Arabidopsis thaliana: one gene and its partners. The protein of the gene in region 2 interacts with the protein of the main gene of each other region in a pairwise test. Each region holds a gene or a part of one and is shown on either strand. Other genes may lie near its edges.

The links. The genes of interacting proteins can lie anywhere in the genome.
Region 1: the proteins of MYB113 (region 2) and FASS interact in binary tests that used the Arabidopsis thaliana proteins (3 or more experiments, as listed by UniProt).
Region 3: the proteins of MYB113 (region 2) and TT8 interact in a two-hybrid assay, tested with the Arabidopsis thaliana proteins (one study listed by BioGRID).

What each region holds. Positions count from the first base shown.
Region 1 is NC_003076.8:6,173,008-6,180,134, reverse strand, and holds FASS (tonneau 2 (TON2)), read right to left. Parts: upstream 5,164-7,127; 5' UTR 4,982-5,163; coding exon 4,840-4,981; intron 4,588-4,839; coding exon 4,496-4,587; intron 4,341-4,495; coding exon 4,278-4,340; intron 4,201-4,277; coding exon 4,102-4,200; intron 4,017-4,101; coding exon 3,858-4,016; intron 3,626-3,857; coding exon 3,554-3,625; intron 3,411-3,553; coding exon 3,278-3,410; intron 3,184-3,277; coding exon 3,119-3,183; intron 3,008-3,118; coding exon 2,932-3,007; intron 2,822-2,931; coding exon 2,720-2,821; intron 2,635-2,719; coding exon 2,442-2,634; intron 2,432-2,441; exon of another isoform or gene 2,168-2,431; coding exon 1,921-2,167; 3' UTR 1,734-1,920; downstream 1-1,733. Other genes in the region: AT5G18590 (Galactose oxidase/kelch repeat superfamily protein), read left to right, coding at 1-81, 187-270, 353-724, 806-1,309, 1,395-1,454, 1,539-1,619; EMB269 (GTP1/OBG family protein), read left to right, coding at 5,312-6,417, 6,987-7,127. UniProt on the Arabidopsis thaliana protein: Probable regulatory subunit of type 2A protein phosphatase involved in the control of the dynamic organization of the cortical cytoskeleton.
Region 2 is NC_003070.9:24,750,282-24,756,237, reverse strand, and holds MYB113 (myb domain protein 113), read right to left. Parts: upstream 2,650-5,956; 5' UTR 2,605-2,649; coding exon 2,484-2,604; intron 2,343-2,483; coding exon 2,213-2,342; intron 2,124-2,212; coding exon 1,634-2,123; 3' UTR 1,477-1,633; downstream 1-1,476. Other genes in the region: AT1G66360 (Calcium-dependent lipid-binding (CaLB domain) family protein), read right to left, coding at 3,631-3,948, 4,082-4,177, 4,697-4,807. UniProt on the Arabidopsis thaliana protein: Transcription activator, when associated with BHLH002/EGL3/MYC146, BHLH012/MYC1, or BHLH042/TT8.
Region 3 is NC_003075.7:6,180,328-6,188,256, reverse strand, and holds TT8 (basic helix-loop-helix (bHLH) DNA-binding superfamily protein), read right to left. Parts: upstream 6,377-7,929; 5' UTR 6,191-6,376; coding exon 6,054-6,190; intron 5,835-6,053; coding exon 5,583-5,834; intron 5,202-5,582; coding exon 5,105-5,201; intron 4,917-5,104; coding exon 4,902-4,916; intron 4,820-4,901; coding exon 4,763-4,819; intron 3,079-4,762; coding exon 2,832-3,078; intron 2,748-2,831; coding exon 1,996-2,747; 3' UTR 1,734-1,995; downstream 1-1,733. UniProt on the Arabidopsis thaliana protein: Transcription activator, when associated with MYB75/PAP1 or MYB90/PAP2. Involved in the control of flavonoid pigmentation. Plays a key role in regulating leucoanthocyanidin reductase (BANYULS) and dihydroflavonol-4-reductase (DFR).

The sequences.
Region 1 (7,127 bases), on a different chromosome or scaffold from region 2:
GAAACATTGGTCTTCGATATCCTTAAGGTCGAGTGGTCTGTAGCAAGCATCTCCTCTCAATCTTCTGTCACATCCAACAAGGTGGATAAATAGAAAAATCACATTCTTATATGTAACTAACTTGTATATTCTTTCAACCCCATCTGTTAAAAGCTCAGTTATTGTCTTGTGGTATGTTTGAAATAGGGATTTAGTCTAGTTCTTCTGCAACACAAGGATAAAGATTTCCTTGTAGCTTTTGGAGGAACGAAAAAAGATCCTTCAAATCAGGTTCGAGCCTTATCATTCCGCTGTATTGTTCAAGATCTCAATTTATGTATGTGTTTTGATGCTATGTCTGAACTATGAAAAGGTCGATGCTTTTACCATTGACAAGAACAAGAGTGAATCACCAACACATCCGCAAACAACTTCCAAGAAAAACCCCGGCCGGTTACTGTTTGGAAAAAGATCTTCTTCCTCGGCAGTTTTAACCTCTGATGAATCGGTTAAAGCCTCTTCACAGAGGCTGATTGATTCAGTTGCCAGACAGAAACTTGCTTCAGCCATTGAAGAGCATGGTGGCTCTGGTAGAAGGTCTTTATCAGAGATTGCTTTCGGTGATCATCGTAACCCACCTTCTGGAAATGTCTCTTTGCGTAAACAGTTTAGCACCGAAGAGGAATACAGAGCGGTGATTGAACCCGCAAAGTGTTCAGAAGAAGACATTTCCGTGCCTCCTCCGGTATATATAGTTAGTTCATGATTCACCTGCATTTATTGACGTTCTTGAATTTGCTTTTAAAACGTCTTGTCTTGGTTTCAGACCACAGATGACAATACTGGAGGAGCAAAGATTACAGCAGAGAAAACACTTTCTATGGTTTCTGACCGTGAAATCTTAAGTCTCCAGAAGCAATGCTCTGAAACATATCCTTTAGAAAACGTTGATGGCGCCTTGATATTCCAAGAAATGGATAATATCAACTTTGCAGGATCAGCGTCCTCATCGAGCGTGTACCAATTCCATGAAGCGAAAATGACGGCTCTTATAAGAAGAAATGGGATTCTGGAAGGGCAGTTAGAAGCAGCATTGGCGGGAAGAGAGGCGGCTGAGAGGAATGTGTCGGTTGCGTTGAGGAGCAAACAAGAGACTGATAAAAAGTTATCTGACGCCATGAGAGATGTTGAATTGCTTAAGGAGAAGCTGACCGGGTTAGAGCTCGCTCAAGAGGAAGCTAATAGTTTGTCAAACATGGTTCACTCCGACAATGTCAGGCTTGAGCATGATGTAGCGTTCCTCAAAGCTGTCCTAGACGATACACAAAAGGTAAAATAATCCTAGTAGATATACAAGCGTTTTCAAAAGACTGAGGATTAAAGTTTAATACCGTTTTGTGTTATGGGTTTTGTAGGAGTTGCATTCAACAAGAGGAGTTCTTGCAGGAGAAAGAGCAAGAGCGTTCCAGTTGCAGGTGTCATCATAATCATCAATAGACTCTATTCAAATTTGCATTTTCAAAATGTAGTATTGTTCTAAAAACTTGAGATGAACGCAGGTTGAAGTGTTTCATCTGAAGCAAAGATTACAATCTCTAGAGAACAGAGCTGCTACACCCAGAAAGCCTTTCCATGTCTAAACACAGACCAGAGACAACACGATAACTTTTATGACTTCCATTTTGTAGTACTCGAGACATGACTGAATTCATGTGTGTTGTGGAGTAATGTATAATAGAAGTGAATTCAGAAATGTCAAAAATCAAATCAGATCCCAAGTAGAATAAGACAAGTGACGATATAAACAGCCATTTCATTAAACGTCACCAACTAATAAGCTTACAAAGATACACACACATGAGATGAGACTGTTTACTAGTGCGAGACTTTTGATCTCAATGATTTAGCATTTTTTTTAGGTAGACATAGAAAATAACATTATCACTGAGACTCTTCCTCAGGTGGTTCTTCTTCTTCTTGAAGAAGGTTCTCACGGTTGTCATGAGCCCAGAAGCCACGCACATCTATAAGCATGCTCGCAACGGTTCCACCTTGTTTACATCCCAAGAGATCACCCAGAGTGATCTTTAATGGGTCAGACGGTTTCACCATGTCCCAGATCTCGTCTCGAACATCTTCTATGCACAGTTCATAGTTCCCACCTTCTATCCATTTCTGGTGAACATCTCTGCAAGTTAAACAGATGAATTCAGAAGAGAGACAATGGCATTATCACACATCAATGGTGTGTTTGATATGCACTAGTGTCTTTGCAGATATGAGACTCGCGGAACAAAGCTCAGCTTCCGCAAGCAGGAAATGCAGAGTGTTTATTTAGGAAGATTGTATCAGATAACATCACAACTCTTTGATGCTCCCCTTCTTTACTTCCATGTTTCAAACAAAATTTACTAAAAAGTAAGAAACCAAACAGATTCAGTCGCTTCATAGAGATTCATTACCTGAAAAGAGAGTGAATATCAGCAGTAGTGAGAAAGCCTCTCCCTTGGAGATCAAGGCAACGGAATAAATACGTCAAACCCTCTGGAGTATCTTTGTTCTCCAAAGCAAGAACAAAATCGAGGAAACTGTCAAAGTCCATTTCCCGGGAATTGCCTGCCACGATTTTACCACGGCGGACATGCTCATCGAACACTAAAAAAACAAAGGGGAATTAGTATACTAAGCGTGTCTCGATCAGTACCACGAGCCTACAATCACCAAAAGGGCTTAAATTTACCTCTTTCAATGAAAATCTCAGTTAGGGTCCCATCAGCATATTCTTTAAGTTCTTGTTTGCACAGCGATCCACTCATATCTTTATCAAGTGCGAGGAACATATCTACAGAAGAAAGAGAAACTCTAGATCAATCTCCATTTTAGTTCTTAATATGACATAACGAGAGTTGTTTCCAGTTCTCTGCAGCTATTAAGACAAAATAGCACACCCACCACATATGCGTTGGGCTGAAGTCAAAGAGAACCAATTTTCTGCCTGTTCAGTGTCTGTGACTTCCTCCTCGCTTTCCTAACGTTGAGTAACCAAGGAACAATCAGAAAACACAAGCAAGTAGCTTATGAAAGTGGAAAGTTATACGGTGACGAAGCTGTATGTCATACATCCTTCAACTAAACTTACCTGATGCAATTCCATTAGTTCCTGCAGACAGTTACTGAGCAGTATCTTTTTAATGCAGGCTCTTCCTGTACGCAAAAAATATCACATTTACGAGCGATTGAATACTGGGTCAAAGAAATTTCTAATTGCCTAATAATAATAATATTTTCTTTCACTTACCTCGCCTATGGGGATCACAGAAGAAGAAAAACTTTTGTGAAGCTATGCGGCAATACATTTGATTAAAGGCCGGAGGCATGTCTCTCAGTTGTGCCAGATTAGGGATTAGACCACCAATATAGGACTCCATTTCCTATAATAACAACAGCAAGTAGACTAACTGTAAGGAACTTGACATAAAAGTCAACACCATTTGACATTTGCAGGTAGGACGACTACCTAAAGAATCTTGAGCCAATTCTAAAGTTAAAGCTTTAGAGCCACTTGAGTACTTACATCAGAATGAAGGAAACCATCAGAGTCTTCGTCAAGCTCACTCATATCAATCCTAGCTTGTGTAAGCGACACCTGAATAGTGTTGAACATATGATTAATCAAAACAAGTATTAACTATAGTTGTTTAAGTAAAAGACACGCCAAATTAAAAAAACTTGAAAAACAAACATCCAAAACTAGCAAAGCTGGTGTCACTCAAACACAGTACCAAAGAATATTTAGCTTATGGCGACAGATGATATTCAGCCAATGAACAAAAATGATACCCAAAGACATGACATTATAAAAACATAAGGATACTCACCGTGCGCATCACATAAAGATAAAACGGTAAAATGGCAATCCTCCCAGCCTCATCCTTCTCAAATTTCATGAAATTGGATGGGCTAAAAAACCGGCGACATTTGGGACCGATTTGTTCAGTGCATACAGAGGCAATGTGACAGAAGTCTTCATAGTTCATCTACATGAAAAAGACAGCGCAATATCAGCATCATTGTTAACATAGTTTCAGCTCCAGAGAAAAATCCTATAAAAGATGCACGTACCTTTTCAGCACCAGTGGCATCATCAATCACACAATTTTCTCTCAAACAAACCCACATAGCAGCCAAATCATCAGCGTTTAACAAAAGATCCGATTGTTTCTGTGGGAATTAATCAACATATCGAAGTGAGCAAAAACATTAAACTTCTTCTGAATAATTAAGAGCAGGCGAAATACCTTCAAGAAACGGTACTTTGCAAGCTTCTGGACCCTTTGACTAATAGATCCTTCTTCTGGTTTCTGAACCAAGAGTAAAGGAACAAAATTTTATTGCCTAACACGAATACTTAAAAGGAAAAACAACTTCTATGAAGTGTATAACACAATGCAATATTTTAACCGAGTAGTGCCTTGAAATGCAAAGGCAATCATTTTATACAGAGTAAGGGACATGCCTTCTTGTAGAAACTCGGTATTGTGCCTGCTTCTTGGCTTTTCTGTTGCTTCTCTTTAAAAATCTCGAGCAAGATTCTCTTCGTCTCAAGCTCTACAAAACAATGAACACAAACCCTTATCAAACTAAGCAAAACCAAAGACTCTATCACAGTTAAACATAGTCTTTCAATACATAGACATGTAAATTCAGGAACTTTACTCATATTGAAAACACAACGAGCTCTAAAATGTGATCAAAGATTCAAACTTTACAGAATTTATGACATCATCACAAGCTAAAAGATAAAAAAACTACAGACTGTCCCAACAACCAAAACGCAACAACCGGCAAAAGGAACATTACCCATTAGAGCTTCGGATCCTAATCCGGCACCGGAACCAATATATCGTCGTAGATTTCTAACCCAAAGCATCGAAGACGCCGGTGGGATCTTCCTCTGCGTCGATGTATCATGACTCTCACCATCGCTAGATCCGCTATACATTCTCGGAGATCGTCACAACCCTCGACGATAAATGTTAGTCACCAAATGAAGCAGAGAGATTAAAACCCTTAAATAGAATGGTGAGACTGAACCAGGAACTGCAGAAACCCTAAAGCGCCCCCTTTCTCTCTCTCTCCCTCTCTGGAGCTCAATCTGCGAGATCCAAGCTTCAAACTTCAAAGGTAATAAAAGTTTCTCCTTGTTTGCTATATAAGTCCTCAATTTTATACTACTTTTGATTGTAACCCCCTTTACTTTGAAAAATCAATATTTAGTACAAAATGTTGTTTATATCACATAAAGTCCCGTTAAGATTTATCAGAGAAACAAATGGCTTCCATATCCATTAACTGTTTCTTCACTCCTCAAGCTCTAGCCCGACCCAGTAGGACGAGGAAGATTTTCGCTAAACCTGACAAAGTCTCGGGAAGAACCCGAAGCCCTAGAAAAACGAAGCTTCAACGCGAAGTCGAGCTTAAATCTCGAGGCGGTGATAAACTCCAGCCAGTTTCTGATGCCGGCGGCGAAGCCACTACTTATACACGTCTTCCTCCTAGGGAAGATTACTATGATGTCTCTCTTTTGTCTTCATCTTATTTAAAAGTTTCTGAAGAAGTGAAGCTATCTGAGTCCAATGTCGCGAGGGTTGAGGAAAAGATTGAAACTTTGAGGGAAATTGAGGAAGAAGAGAAAGAAAAGGAGGTGAAGAGTTATGATGATGATGATATTTGGGGAAATTACAGAAGATTAGATGTGTTTGAAGGGAGTTCAAGATCAATTGATGAAGATGATGAAGATTGGGAAGACGAAGTGTTTGAGTATGGTGATGAAACTGATGCGGAGAAAGATGATAGTGAAGGGTCTGAATTGAAGGATGGAGAAGTGTTATGTTTCTCCGGTGAAGAGGAAGAGGATGAAATTGGGGTGAAGGAGAAAGGAGTTCCGGCTGTGATGAGGTGTTTCGATAGAGCGAAGATATATGTTAGAGCCGGAGATGGAGGGAATGGTGTGGTGGCGTTTAGGAGAGAAAAGTTTGTTCCTTTTGGAGGACCTTCAGGTGGAGATGGAGGGAGAGGAGGGAATGTGTATGTAGAGGTTGATGGGTCTATGAATTCGTTGTTGCCATTTCGCAAGAGTGTGCATTTCAGGGCGGGACGTGGGGAACATGGGAGAGGGAAGATGCAGAGTGGAGCTAAAGGTGATAATGTCGTGGTGAAAGTGGCTCCTGGGACGGTGGTTAGACAGGCTAGAGAGGTTGGGAGTGAGGTGGAGGGTGAGGAAGGGGAGGAGAAGGAGGTGCTTTTGGAGTTGTTGCATCCGGGACAGAGGGCGTTGTTGTTGCCTGGAGGGAGAGGTGGACGAGGGAATGCTTCGTTTAAGTCGGGGATGAATAAAGTTCCTAGGATTGCTGAGAATGGCGAAGAAGGTCCTGAAATGTAAGTGTGTATTTTTCTTCATTTTTGAGCTGGTTTTAGTTTAGTGTGTTGATGATGGTTACAAGCTTTGATAGGATAAACTAATCACAGAAGCTAGATTGTTCAAAGATGTAAAAATTTCATTTTGGTTTAGGAACAGTTGATTTGTATTTCTTTTGTTTGGTAAAGCTTGATGTTTACATGTGAGCCCTGCTTCCTTCATTCGATCATCTGGGTTAGGTTTAGTATCTCGGTTAATCTCCAGAGGAAATCTCATCTTGTAAGTAATGCTCACTATACAAGAATTTATATATAGATACAGGTACAGGACTTTTGAAAGTCTTCCATTGCTGACTCTGCTAGTAGAAAAGCTCATGTTGATAGAGGTATGTTAGAGTATTATGAACGGATATGAGTTTCTGGGTTATCTATAGACTGGATTGGGTACTCTTAGAGTCCAACACTATCATGCTGTTGGAGAATTATGAGACTGTGTTTGCCTTTAGGAAATGTAATATGTGGTTCATATATATATTTTTTTTTTTCTGGGAAGCTCTGATTCCCAATTATAACTTTACATATGCCTATAGGTGGCTGGACTTAGAACTGAAACTGGTCGCAGACGTAGGTATTGTGGGTGCTCCAAATGCAGGAAAAAGCACATTGTTGAGCGTGATAAGTGCCGCACAGCCAACCATAGCAAATTACCCATTCACCACATTACTTCCCAA
Region 2 (5,956 bases):
TGAAACCAACGTGTATGCTCATCGTCCACAAACAATTTTCCACATGAGACATAATTTCATAAAAGCTATAAGGTGTGAAGTCATTTCTTTCAAGATTTTCCAGAACAAAAATAATCATACACTGTAAGGAAAATTTCCTTTTGAAGTGATAGATATTTATCATACATTTTTAGAATTTTATATTTTCTTTTCAACCGACGTCATAGTAATTAATACCAGATGAACGAGACTAGTATGGATTTGGGAGAATTTCAAGGAATAAACTTCACTTTACTGACACAAAGTTTTATAGATTTTCTGAAGAATAATTTACTTGGAAGTTTCACGTTTAAGTTTTTTCTCAAAGAATGCTAAATTTATGAATCTTTTAGAAAAATCTGACTTACACACTTGTATGTGTGTAACCTTTAATAAGAAAACACTATTCAATCACAAGTTCCTTTCCGATCCTCCGGTGGTTATGTTTGCCAAAACCCATGTGTTAAATTGATATATAATAGAATATAATAATAATAGATCTGATTGATAACATAAATTAGTTGAAACTGTAAGTTATTTTGAAACAATGTAAAACTGTAAAAAATAGTTATACGAAAAAGTTGTACAATAAAACTAAAAATAAAAAATATTATAATGATTTTGATAAAAAAAATTGTGAATGATAAATATCGAAAATATACAAAAAAAATATATCGTTTTGATAGTAGTTTATCATTCAAAGCTAATAAAAACAACGATAATGGTAAGTTTTAAGAATTTTTGTTTTTTTCCAATGCATGTTTAGTGTATACTATGCAACCGACATGGATCCAAAGGACATCAACATTATTTGCGTTAGAAAACTGTTGTTGTTTTCTTTTAAGAGGAAAAGTCAAAACCAATTGATATAATAAATATATTGATCCATATGATATCACTCAAAGTTCTTTCTTGATTTTAATGTGCGAGATAGCTCACATGTCTCCTTAAAATAATCAATGACCCTTCTAATTATTAATTTCGACAAAATCTCATCATAATTAAAATTGATTTCGGTTTAGATCAATCGGACCAATTTTGAGTCTGCTTAATTTCAGATCGGATTGAATGGACCCACTTTGAGGCATGCATCCATTTGTTCGAGTTGGAGGAACGTGTGTCTCCATCGGAGAAGAAGAAGAATTGTTTTTCTTTCTTTCTTTTTTTAGTTTTTTTTTCTTACTTTTTTCTCTTTTAGTTTATTGCAGCTTACTCTGATCCTAATTATCTAGGTCAATTTAAAACGTAGTATTGTAGATAAAAAAAAATTACGATTCATGTAGTTTTTTTGGAGAATTGAACTTTCTGACGTTGGTTTAGAAAAGACCATAAATTTGTAAATAAAAAGCAAAAAAAAACATAAGTAGAAACATCCCTTTCTTCACTCTCATCGCATCACCTCATACAACACAATATAAGTAGAAACGACTCTCATATTATCTCCTAATGAACCATTAGACGTTATCTTCTCGGGTTTGAATTCGTGTTAAGTTATATTGTAACAAATGCTGCCACCTTTGATATGAATTTAATAATACAATTTTTAAAAATTGCAATATAAAAAACATCCACAGAAACATAAATACACACGTGCAAACAAAAATGGGGAGCAACACTAATTCAGTTCTAAAGTCTCTTCATCAAACCGAGCCCAAATTTGCTCAAAGTCAAGCGGTAAGGTCACACCCTTTGCTGTTTCCGTAGCTTCTGGACCCAACACATCTGCCTCCAGTAAACTTTCCCACCACATATTATCTCCATCCAATAGATTAATATTAATAAGCTTATCTTTTTGCTCATCTTTGTTACATGTAATACTACTTTCACAAACATAATTGTTGTTGAGTCCAAGATGTAAAGGAACAACGTCAACTTTTGGCAAGATATTGACATCGTTGCAACTATTTTTATCGGAGAAGGATCGAGGCCGAGGCTTTAAAACATCGATTTTTTGGGCCGATGAAGTAGGATGAGAAGTAATGTTTTTGTTTATCATCTTCGTCTTACAGCATCGTTCATCGTGCTTCTTACTCAAATGAGTGTTCCAGTAATTCTTGACATCATTAGCAGTCCGACCAGGCAATCTACCAGCGATCAAGGACCACCTAAACATTGTGAAACAATATACATGAGAGTTTCTAGTATTGAACCGCGATCCCTAAAGAAATAGTATTGACTATCGAGAAAACAATACCTATTTCCTAGAAGTTTATGAAGGCGAAGAACAAGATCAACTTCATCGGAGCAGAGTTTTCCTCTCTTAATACTTGGCTTCAAATAATTCAACCATCTAAGTCTACAACTCTTTCGGCACCGATTGAGACCTATAAAACCAAAAGTCGAATTTACTATACCTACTTAGATTTCTTTTGTACCTCCTTTATCTTTATCATGAAGAATATATGCACACCAATCGATATAAATAGTATTTTCATGAACCACCTTAAAAAGCATGAAACAAATACCAGTTCTTAAAGGAACTCGATGCCATTTGCCTTCTCCATACTTATCAATGCATTGCCTCAAGAGAATATCTTCTTCAGTAGTCCATGTACCTTTTCTCAACCCTTTGGGTGATTCGCCCATGGAGCAAAGATAATAGAAAATTATCTCACAAATTTTATAAAATTTATATATATGGCATGTGTGAAGCCTTCACAAATTATTGGAGGTTTTATATAGAGAGTGCAGTGACTGCCATATTTTATATCCACGTTTAATTCATGCTGAATTTGCTAAAAATTAGTTTGTTTTGCTATTGTTTAGACAAGAGAAATGGTTCACTGCACTTAGCAGCCAGACTCTTCGTTCTTTTTAATTACGTATAATAATAACAATGTCAATAAATCTGTTTTGTACTTCTACATGGTTGTCTTTCTATTGCAACATTTCTTCAAAATATTACAAAAAAAAGAAACTAAAGTTAAAAAGTTATAATAATGTTTTGTTAAAAAGTTATGTATGTTCAACTAAAGTTATATATTTTCATTTTCTGGTTATTTTTGATTACTAAAATATGTTTAAATAAAATTGCAACAGATTAATTGAACTGTTATAACATTTGATCTATATGGACGAATCATTGCAACTTTTGATTTTGTTTTATGAGCCGTTGTAATTTTTTTTATTTAATAAACTTTTAATTATCTACTGTTGCGTATTTCGGTATAACTTTTTATATAATTTAGAAATATTTATTTATTTAAATAAAGTTGTAATCGTTATTCGACGAATCATTGTAATATTTGATTTTATTTTATAGACCCATGTAATTCTTAGTTTATTTTGACTGAGCATTGTAACTTTTATAATATTTAATATATACGACCTCATCACTCTGTATAAATTGTTATATAACTAATTTTTAAAACTAAAATATATATTTAAATAAATTATTGCAACCGGTTTATTGAATCAATGCAACATTTAGTTCTTAAGTTAAGTAATTATGTGCATTCTTAATGTGAATTAGTCCTTGTGGTTCTACTCTTAATTGCTTCATCGATAAGATCGCTAGTGCATTAAGATTATTAATTGAGTAAATCACTACATCAGTTTGTGTTATTGTTTTCGCCGTATCATCACAGGAATTTCTTGTAGTATAGAGTCGATCTAGAAAGCAACATCCTCCGCATCATCAGTCAAGGCGCCGGAGACATCGATCCACTCAAGCTGCAGCTCTATCTCCCCTCGTTCAACATTCTGAAGCTTAAGGAACATGTTCTGGACAATCTTTCCTTTGTGCCATACAATCTTGCTCTCTTCTGACAAGCAGTTTTGTCTGCTTGCCTGTATCTTCATTATTACAGTCCCCTCAGGTAGTCCTCCTAGTTGGTTTTGGATTCTGATGGCTTCAAGGAACGGATCAATGTGAAAAATCGCATCTCCCATCTTATCATCCCTTGAGAACCTGTCCCTATCGTACACCATCTGTTTATAACAAAAAAAAAACACCAATTTTTCTTGTTAAGTCTTGTTTCAAACTTCCAAATATAAAGAATCCATATTGTGGTCTAATCTAATGTATCGTGTTTGATTTGGTTGTAATGTCGAAATCACTTACGATCTTGACAGGAAGAGTTGGATCAGTAACAGAAAGTGTCAAGTCTTCGTTCCATTCTGTATTCAAATTCTTTTTCATCACACGGGTTCGTAGCTTCTGCGTCCAGAAAGAGTCATAACATAACCATATAAGATAAATAGATTATACACAAATAAGAAATGCACGAACAAATCAAAAACTTGTTGAAAATGCTTTTCATTTTTAGCTACTTTTTTTTTTGTAGAAATCAATTCCTAGGAATTTCTCATTAGCCGGTAATTTAACTTTGACAGTATGTGACTATAATGGATATGTTAATAACACAGCATTTGCCTACGAAATTCAAATGACCAATTAAGTCAAAAAAAAAGTTTTTTTTTTTGTGTGAAGATCATCTAAATCTATAAAAAGACATATTATACTTCTCTCATTCAATAACTACATCAGAAGTAGCATAACAAAATTCATTAATCATTACCAAAGATCCATTCACAAAAGAAAGCTCAAGAAGCAATTAACCAATTACTTGACAAACTCGATCAAAAGAAAAGAAGAAAATTTTGTTTGACAAGAACAGAAGAACTCAGAAAATGTAAAGCCTAAATTGGAAAAGAAAAGATGAAAAATTGGGGTTACCTGTTTTCCCATACGGACAATGACATAAGGATCACTGCTTTGAGAATCTCTGATGGCAAGATTAACACCTCTAATCACATGAAGTCTTAGAAGACCTAACATATTCTCCATTTTCTCTCTTTCTTTAGATCGAAGGAATCTGCTTTAAAATCCGAGTAAATTTTTGGGCTTTTTCTTCACATGCAAAAATTTTATATCAATAGAAAATTTGGTGTGTAGGACAATTAATGATGAAGTGACATCTTAACCTCTGAAGTGGTTTCGGTATTAATTTTAAGGACCTCAAAAATCAGTCAAAACCAAAGAGAAAAAGTCTCGTGTTTCTTTCCTAAATGACTGGTGTCGTGTTTAAGAACATTTGTAATTACATTCCATTTCTAGATATTGCTTTCCTTAAATGGTCCGAAATATGAGCCTAAAAAATTTAAACTTGCCAAGGTCAATACCATAGAAAGCGTTATACATTGACTTCATGCATGTACTTTTGCAGCTTTTAATCGCGGCTTCGACGCGTCATTAGTTCATTAAAAGATTTTTAAAATGACTAATTAAATTATCGTAAAAAGGTAATATCATAGAATTACACACACGAGAAACTTATATTAGGAGTTGGGTTAGGCCTCAAACTTCCCTTATTGGGCTTGGGTTTGGACTTCACAATTTAATCAAACCTAGAATGCACCATTATTGAAAAGAAAATACTTTCAACGAGTAAAACAAAATTTTAAAATGGTTGTAGTGTCGAAGAATGATGATGCCCATCAAATTAAAATCTCGTTTCCAAGAACATATTCTGAGGAAGGTTTTATTACCAAAACAATTCTGGTTATACTTGGAAAATTGTTACAAAATTGTGTAAGTAAGTTATAAGAAACAACATATAAAAGTTTTAGAAAGGTAAAAGTATTTGAAAATTTGTTAAAATTTATGAGGATTTATAATAGTTTCCCAAATTTATATATTCATATAAAGTTTCTAAAGACAAATTTATGTTTTGCGTCATTACGAATTCCTGATGAACAAACCTCTCTACCGACAGAAACTTATGAACTTATGTACAGTATAATTATGTCAGCTCATGCATATTTCTTCTAAAAGTAATAAAATTGGTAGTTGTTAAATTGATTACCAACAAAATGTTACCTACGAAAATCATTTTCTTAAAATGATGTCAACATGCGATAACAGGAATGCTCATATATTATTTGGCGGTGGGTACTAATTAAATCAACGTCAAAAGAGCACAAATACATTTTAAAC
Region 3 (7,929 bases), on a different chromosome or scaffold from region 2:
GGTAGAAAGCCAAGCTTATAGAGAAAATGAAAAATTGTAATCCCTAAATTTGTTTATCTTAGTTTTATGTGGGGCACTAGTAAATGGGCCTAATTTTCACAATAAGAGTAAACAAACATCTATAACTTGTGTGTGTGTGTGTTTTTTATGTTAACCGGTAAAAAAATGTCATCATTTGACTTGTAAGTAAGGGTGGGCAAAAAAACCGAAAACCGAAAACCCGGACCGTACCCGATCGAAAAAAATAGTTTGGTTTGGTTATAGTTTTAAAAAAAAAAACTATTTGGTTGTATTTTTTTATTATTATTTCGGTTTGGTTTGGTTAAAAACCGTAAAACCAGATTATTTTTAGGTTTTTTAGAGAAATTAAAAATAATTATTGATAAATATTTTTGTCCATTTTATAGTGTGATTAGTTTGATTAATAATAGTTTCATTTTAAAAAAAAAAATTTAGTAGGCTTAGAATTATTAATTTTTTTAGTAATTTAGAAACCAAGAATTTAATTTTAAAAAGATATCTATTATATCTAACTTATTGATTGATATATTATTTTCTTTTATGTTTATTTTTATTTATAAATCATCGAACTTATTTTTTTTTGTAAAAGTATGGAATAACTAAAAAACCGGGACCAAACCAAAAACAAATCGAATCCAAACCGAACTGAGATACATATGGTTTTAATATTTATAAAACCGAACCGGAACCAAACTGAATTACATACTGTTTTTCTGTTTTTCTATGATTATAGTTTTTATAAAACCGAAAAAACCAAACCAAAACCAAATCATAAAACCGTACGCCCACCCCTATGAGTTGTAAGAGTGGTTCGATTTAATATAATCTCCTGTTTACTTTGATTGTAGTTCTCGGTTCAGGTTGGTTAAATTTTTACATTAAACCAATTTCAGTTTAAAACGATTATTATAAAGTTCTGAAATTAAAATAGGTTTGACCTTGGATTATCTTGAGTCTTTTTACCCTGCCATCAATTTTTGGTCAAAGTAAGTTAATATTCATTTAAACCGTTTTTTTTTTCTTTTTGGCAAGGTTTGGTATCTGAATTCAATCAGAATTCTAACAGTTCATACCGAAATCAAAGAATCGAATGGGCCAGGCCAATTTTAAGCAGCCTGCTAAGTGCTGAAACTATAGAAAGATATCTTACACTATTGAACACCACTATTCAAGAAAGAAGACAACAAAGGAAGTGGAGCCAATGCAGTTACACATCTTGCAGCTTTGATAATGTATGATGATCAACTAAGAGAAAAATATATATAGCTCATGCTGCAACTATGAACATTGTCAATACATTTATCTCGTTGGTTGATAGCTTAATATTCTTGACTTATAAATGTTCTTCCATACACTAATTATGAGTATAACTATTAGTCTACTCTAGAAATTGTTGATTCTTACACTAAAACGCAATTTCGTAATTTTGCTGGAAAATTTGATTTCGTAATTTGATGTGCTACAACTTGATTCTTAAAATTGAGCACCAAAGTAGAATGTAATGTTTTATATAAACTCTTTGATTTCTCTAATCTGAGGTTAATGATAAAATTACATAAATTATGACATACAAATTTTGGCATAAATTATTTTAATGAATTTTGTAAAGATTTTTTAATAATATTTTCTCAAATTTGAACGTAAGAAAAAACTACATAGAAATTCTACATCTTTATGCATCAAAAAAAATATGATGTTTTAGATGCAACTGAATCTGCATCCAAATATCGCATTCATACAAAAGTACTAAATTGGACAACGAACAACATCGTCATCTAGTACATTTGCATTTATATGTTGCAATTGCATCATACACAAGTACTACATTGGACAAATGAACAATATCATCTAGTACATTTTCATTTATATGTTGCATCCGGCTATATATGTAACTGATGTCTTAATACATGTGAGGCTAAAACAAAAATACGCTTAATTATCCTTCTCTAGAGTTGGCATCAATAAAGTTAGGGTCTATAGATTAGTATCATGTATTATGACTTGGTGGATGGCTCTTTTGACCTCAGCGATGCTTGCTTTCTTCCCTCTTACTTTCGCCCTTATCTCCGCCTCGAAATCATGGTCGTTCACCGAGGTATGAACTGCCGTAGTCTCTATACCAAGCTCATGAAGAACCTGAAGAATGTCAAGCAACAAACCATCTCGGTACTCACATCTCATCTCTAACAAAACATCATTCTCTATGATGGAAACCTCCACCTCCTCCGATGTTTTTCTCTTACAAGTACGCGTCCGCTTATGCTGTTGCTCATGATGAGTATTCTCAAGCTCATGGACCCTCTTTCGAAGATGATTTACGTACGCAATGGTGTCTCCAAGGATTGAGACTTTATCCATCTTGGTCACAAATGGAACCATTGATCTCAACGTTATGAATTTCTCGTTCAGCTTCTCCCTCCTGCGTCGCTCTGCTACTACGTGGCTCAGATCTTCCCGCGGTAGCCTCTTATCTTTAGTGTTGTCATGGAGGAAAGGAACTCTGAAGATCATTTGTTTGAGCACCCATTGTGACGACGGCGCCGTTTTCACTTGCTGATGCTCTTTGCCATTCTCAACCCTCCACGTGGCAAACGATGATTGGATGTAAGAAGATGTGGAAACTGAATCTGAAAGAAGACTTGTGGGGTGTGACATGAGAAGTGTTGTTACTGTCTGAGAATAGTTTCCACCTTCCTCCATTAGATTCATCATGTCCATATGTGTGTCTACATATATATACAAATGATAATTTCTTAGATATAGCGAAATAAATCCGCAAAATATAAGTAGCTTAGGGTAGATATATATACCTAACGTATGGGTTGATTCAATATGAAGATCAGAGTGTAGATTTTGATTGGAAACATCTTCATCATCAGGAGAGCCAAGCCTCATTTCCTCTGACATTGTCATCTCTTCTTCTACTTCTTCTTCGTCTTCGGCTTCTTCATGCACTTCGTAGGTGGAGTGTTCAGAAAGAGCCGGCTTTGGGTTCGTCTTGCAGTGGTCATAGAAGAAACTCTTTGTGAGCTCAACAAACTCTACATCTTCTCTTACCTACACACACAAATACAACAAATAAATATTGATCCATCACTACAAAAAAAAGGATAGATTACATCAATTAAATAGTATCACAAGTATAAATGGTACAAGTTTAAATTACTTATAAGCAAATGACACAAAATAAATAATTAAACATCAATTATAATAAGTGATGTATAAATTAACATGTTTAGCGTCACTTTAATCAAATTGATAGAAATTTGTATTAGTTTGCATCATTTTAACAAATTGATACAAAAATCTGTATTTACACCAATTAAATAACCGATGTATTCACTTAATTTTATTAACATCAGTTTATAAAAATGATATAAAATTATACATCAATAAGAAGTGATGCTAATAAGTTTTTCTGTATTTTAATTTAAACAAAAAACTAACTTGAATTTATTGTAGATGACGAGAAATTGTTATTACCATAAATAAATAATCATATTGGGTTAATAATTTATTATTAATTCCTATATTTTCCCTCAAAATCAGCTAACTAAATATATTTGTTTCCTTCACTATAAATCCTGCTTTTACGCTCACGATCTTTTTTTACAGTTTTGTATCCAAAAACGTTTTTAGAATATCTTCAAATTAGTTTTTGAAATCTCATAACTCTCATTCAATTCTTCATCTTCAACGACAAGTACTTTCTTATTTTTCTATCATTCTATCTTTCTCTTTTTCTTAACCATTGCTCAGTTTTTTTCTTTTCTTTTATTTTCAGAAATCTGCCATTGATCATTAGGACTGTTTGTTTTCCTACACAGTTTGGAGAAACACAAAGTAAAGGTACTCTATCACTTTCTTTTAAAAATACTTACAAATGGTTATTCTTATTCCGACCAAAACAATTCTGTAAATTTTCAAACAATTACTCTCTTTTTTATTTTGTACAGCAGAAACTCAAGTGTGATGAGGATTCAAGAGATATAAGTTATAACCAAAGTATGATTTTGATTCTGTAAATGGAAGAGAGATGGCATAGAAGAAGAAATGGTATTTTTCAAGAAGAACCAACAGTTAATGGAAGGAAGAAGCATGGAACAGAAGAAAGATGTGTTTAAACACGAAGAAACCAAAACCAAATTATGATTATTTTTTTGCTTATCTTATATAAAGATTTATTGTTCATGTAAAATATTTTATTAAATCTTGATAAAATTTTAGTAGATATTCCAACGAGTAATTATCCACAATGATCTGTTATTTAAAAAAAAAAAAGAAATAAATAAAATAATTATTTGAAATATTAATAACATTGTATTAATAATTATATATATATTAATTAAATCAGTTATTTAAACCGAAACAAATACTAACATCACTTAAATAAATTGATGTAAACATTACATCATTTTTAGTAACTGATACAATATTGATATCAATTATAATAATCGATGTAATTATTTTGATTATTTACATCAGTTACTAATTAACTGATGCAAATTATTTGCATCAACAATATTTAAGTCACTTATTTAAGTGATACAAAATTCTTTTACATCACTTTTAACTAATGCAAATATTTATAATAAATGATGTAAAACAACCTTTTTTTTGTAGTGCATCTCCTTAATTTAACATTACTAAACCTAAAGAAAGATAGGCTATATTCACTTTGTTATTTTGTTTATATATTTCATTAACAAGTAAATAAAAGAGAGAGTATATACAACGTTACCTTTTTCGTTGTGCCTAGTTCCACAACACCATCAAGCATTGGAATGCAAACCACTGTCTGCTTTTTTAAAATACATTTTCATCAGAATACAATTCTCAAATCTTACTAAAAAGAGCAAACTAATAAAGACAAATTTTACCTGAATTTTAGCACTCTAAGTCATTGAGGAACCGACGTAAAAGGCCCATAAAACGACAAGAAGAATTATTCAAGTTAATCAGTGAAAATGTATAAAAGTATAGATAAATAGGTTTACAAGTAGATAGATACATAGTATAGTGTATACATAAATAGGTAAAAATAGATGCATAGTATAGTTGGTGAATGAATAAAAGAATTTACCTTAGCGAGAATAGCTCTAGAAAAAGTTTTACTGTCAACTTCATTTGCACCACTTAGCCATACGTGCTTCCTCCTTGCATACGCTTTTCCTGGCATCCTACAAATTACTACCTCCCAAATTTATATTTGATTTTTTTTTACCACATAGAGAAAAGCATGAAGTATACCCATAACTAACCCATTTTGTTATGCATTTATGTTATATCTATTCATGCTTCTACTTTAGATAATCAATCACCAAACAATGAGAATCTCAACGGTCGCAATAATGTTCATGAAAATGTAGTGTGTGTACGTTTCATTAACTCTCATTTCTTTCTTATTCTAGTAACTCAACTTCCTCAGTTTCTCTTTAATGTCAACACAATATTTTCGATATTCGCATTTAACACACAATACTATTTTTGTCTTCACTTAGAGAAGGAAAAAAAAGAAAGAACAAATTTAGAAACTTGAGTATAGGGAGAGAGTTGTTTACCCAGATGGAGGAGGAAAAGAGAAAGAGACGCACATTAGATAAAACCATTCTGTCTCCGTCAAATCCTCCGGTGACAATGCGGTGCATGCTCTTGCTTCTGACGTTGACTCTCCGGCTAAAAGTGTCTCATAAAGCTCCCTGAGCTGTTGGCTCCTCTCTAACGCCGCCTCTTCTGCCGTCACCTCCGCTGGTTGAGTTGTCTTCCTCGTCTTTATTGCACCGTTGTAGTATCCATTCCCCCACACCAAGACCCTAAACAATGATACTTTCATATAAGTAGTTCAAAAATCTTAATAAATTTTGTAAAACCTTCAAAAAAAAAAAAAATTATTTCAAGATCGAATTGTAACACTACGACAAGCCAACAATTAGCCGAATTCATTTAAACATATAGTTTACATAATATATACGGATATAGATATTATGGTTGTATTGTGAGAGATGAATGAACTATAGAGATAAGAAACTAACCGTTGTTGAGGACAAAATTGCCAGAAGACACTATAAGTCCAGTCCACAGATTGAACCGCCGTCTTAAGCAGCCCTTGAAGCTCTTTTTTCTCAGCTCCGGCCACTTTCTCTGCCGGAATAATACTTGATTCATCCATCGTTCCCGGAGATACGAAAACGTGGTAGCTCTCTCTCTAAAAATCTTATAACTTTGAAGGGTTGTTATTAATATGTGAGAAGAATTTACTCTCATACGCTCATGATGACTTAAAATGGTATGGGACCACTGATTTTTGCAATATGCATGTATACGTATATCATCTTAGTGCTTTTGCAACATGTTGACATAAGTAAAGTATAATGCATGTAATGACTTCTATGTATATATGTATGTATATGAATGCATGACCAAAACTCAAGTGCATTAAAAGTTGACTTTTGATTTTTGAATGGTTGGTTCACCAGACGTTGGATGAGAAAGTGAAATAATGAAAGATCTATGTATCTTGTAGACGTGTCATATACTAATTGGACAAATCAAAATACAGAATGAATATATCTAATAATGCTATATTTATTTATTGTTCAGAAAGCATAACATATTATTGTAGATAAAATAGCTAACTGACAAACAAATGAAAACAAATGTTGCTTTGACTTGTGTTACTGCTACAAGGAGCAAAGAAATTGCGTTTTTCACATTTCTATTATTTATAAAATTGATATTAAAATTATATATTGATTAAAATGTTCATTAACAATTTTAAGAAGTTGGAATTATTGGATGAACATTCATATATATTTTCTTTAAAATGAAAAGATAAACTTAACCAAAGATGGGGAATGGTAGAATTGTTGACCTGACCGGTAAGTAAAGAATGAGAAATGGTTTGGTGTAATAAAGGAGAAGAATGAGATGTTTCACATTTGAGTTATTAAATTATTGATGTTAATTGCTAGCCAAGTAGCAGCCACTAGCCACTATAAGTTTCCCATTTAATAATGTCTTATAAAATATAAATGTAGATAGATACTGTTACGTACACATATCGTAGTACATACGATTTTGGGTATGGTTAAGGGTAATGTATGTACACCTGGTTACTTAGACAAAATCAACATTGAATGTTTCTTGGCTTTTTTGTCGACAAAATAAATGTTGCTTGGCTTTTGCTTCTGCTTCTGTGTTTCTTATTACATGTTGTTTCTTCTGAGTTTAGTCGTTCACCAATTATGTAACTCTGACGACGGGCCACGTGGAGTGGTTTCTTCTTATTGATTTTGCTTCTCCTTGTGTGCATCTTTGTGTTTATAAATAAAGGTGTTATGTAACTCATTTCTCATTGGAAATGATTCAAATAACAGAAAATAAACAATACTGTTCTAACACAGAAATGAGCGATTGGTTATTCACAATCACAAGGACAATGCTTTAGTACATAAACGAGAGGTTGGTTAGGCACAAATGTTAACTAAAACCCAAGTTCTTCCATTCCAGAAATGACAAATCATTCCTATTTATAATGCTTTGTTTTCAATGAAAATGACATTAGCCAAAAGTGTTTTGGCAAGAATTAGTTGTTGGAATACAATATATCTTTACAACGCACAACTGCATGAGCTTTGAAGGACCCCGGCCGGTTTATGATGAGAGTGAACTATTTGAAAAGTGGACCACATAATTGTAGAAAAATAATGGGTAATATAGTGTGATGCAAATTGGTGTGAAGTTTTTTGAGTTATTTTTTCTTTCTTTTTCTGAAATGTAATCATTCGTGTGAATGAGAGATTTCTTGTATTTTGTTCAATATATTAAGACCCGGTCCAAACCGGTCAGTTGGACCGTAATCCCATGATCCCGTTGGGGATCCATGGCTAAAATCGCCATGTATTGAAC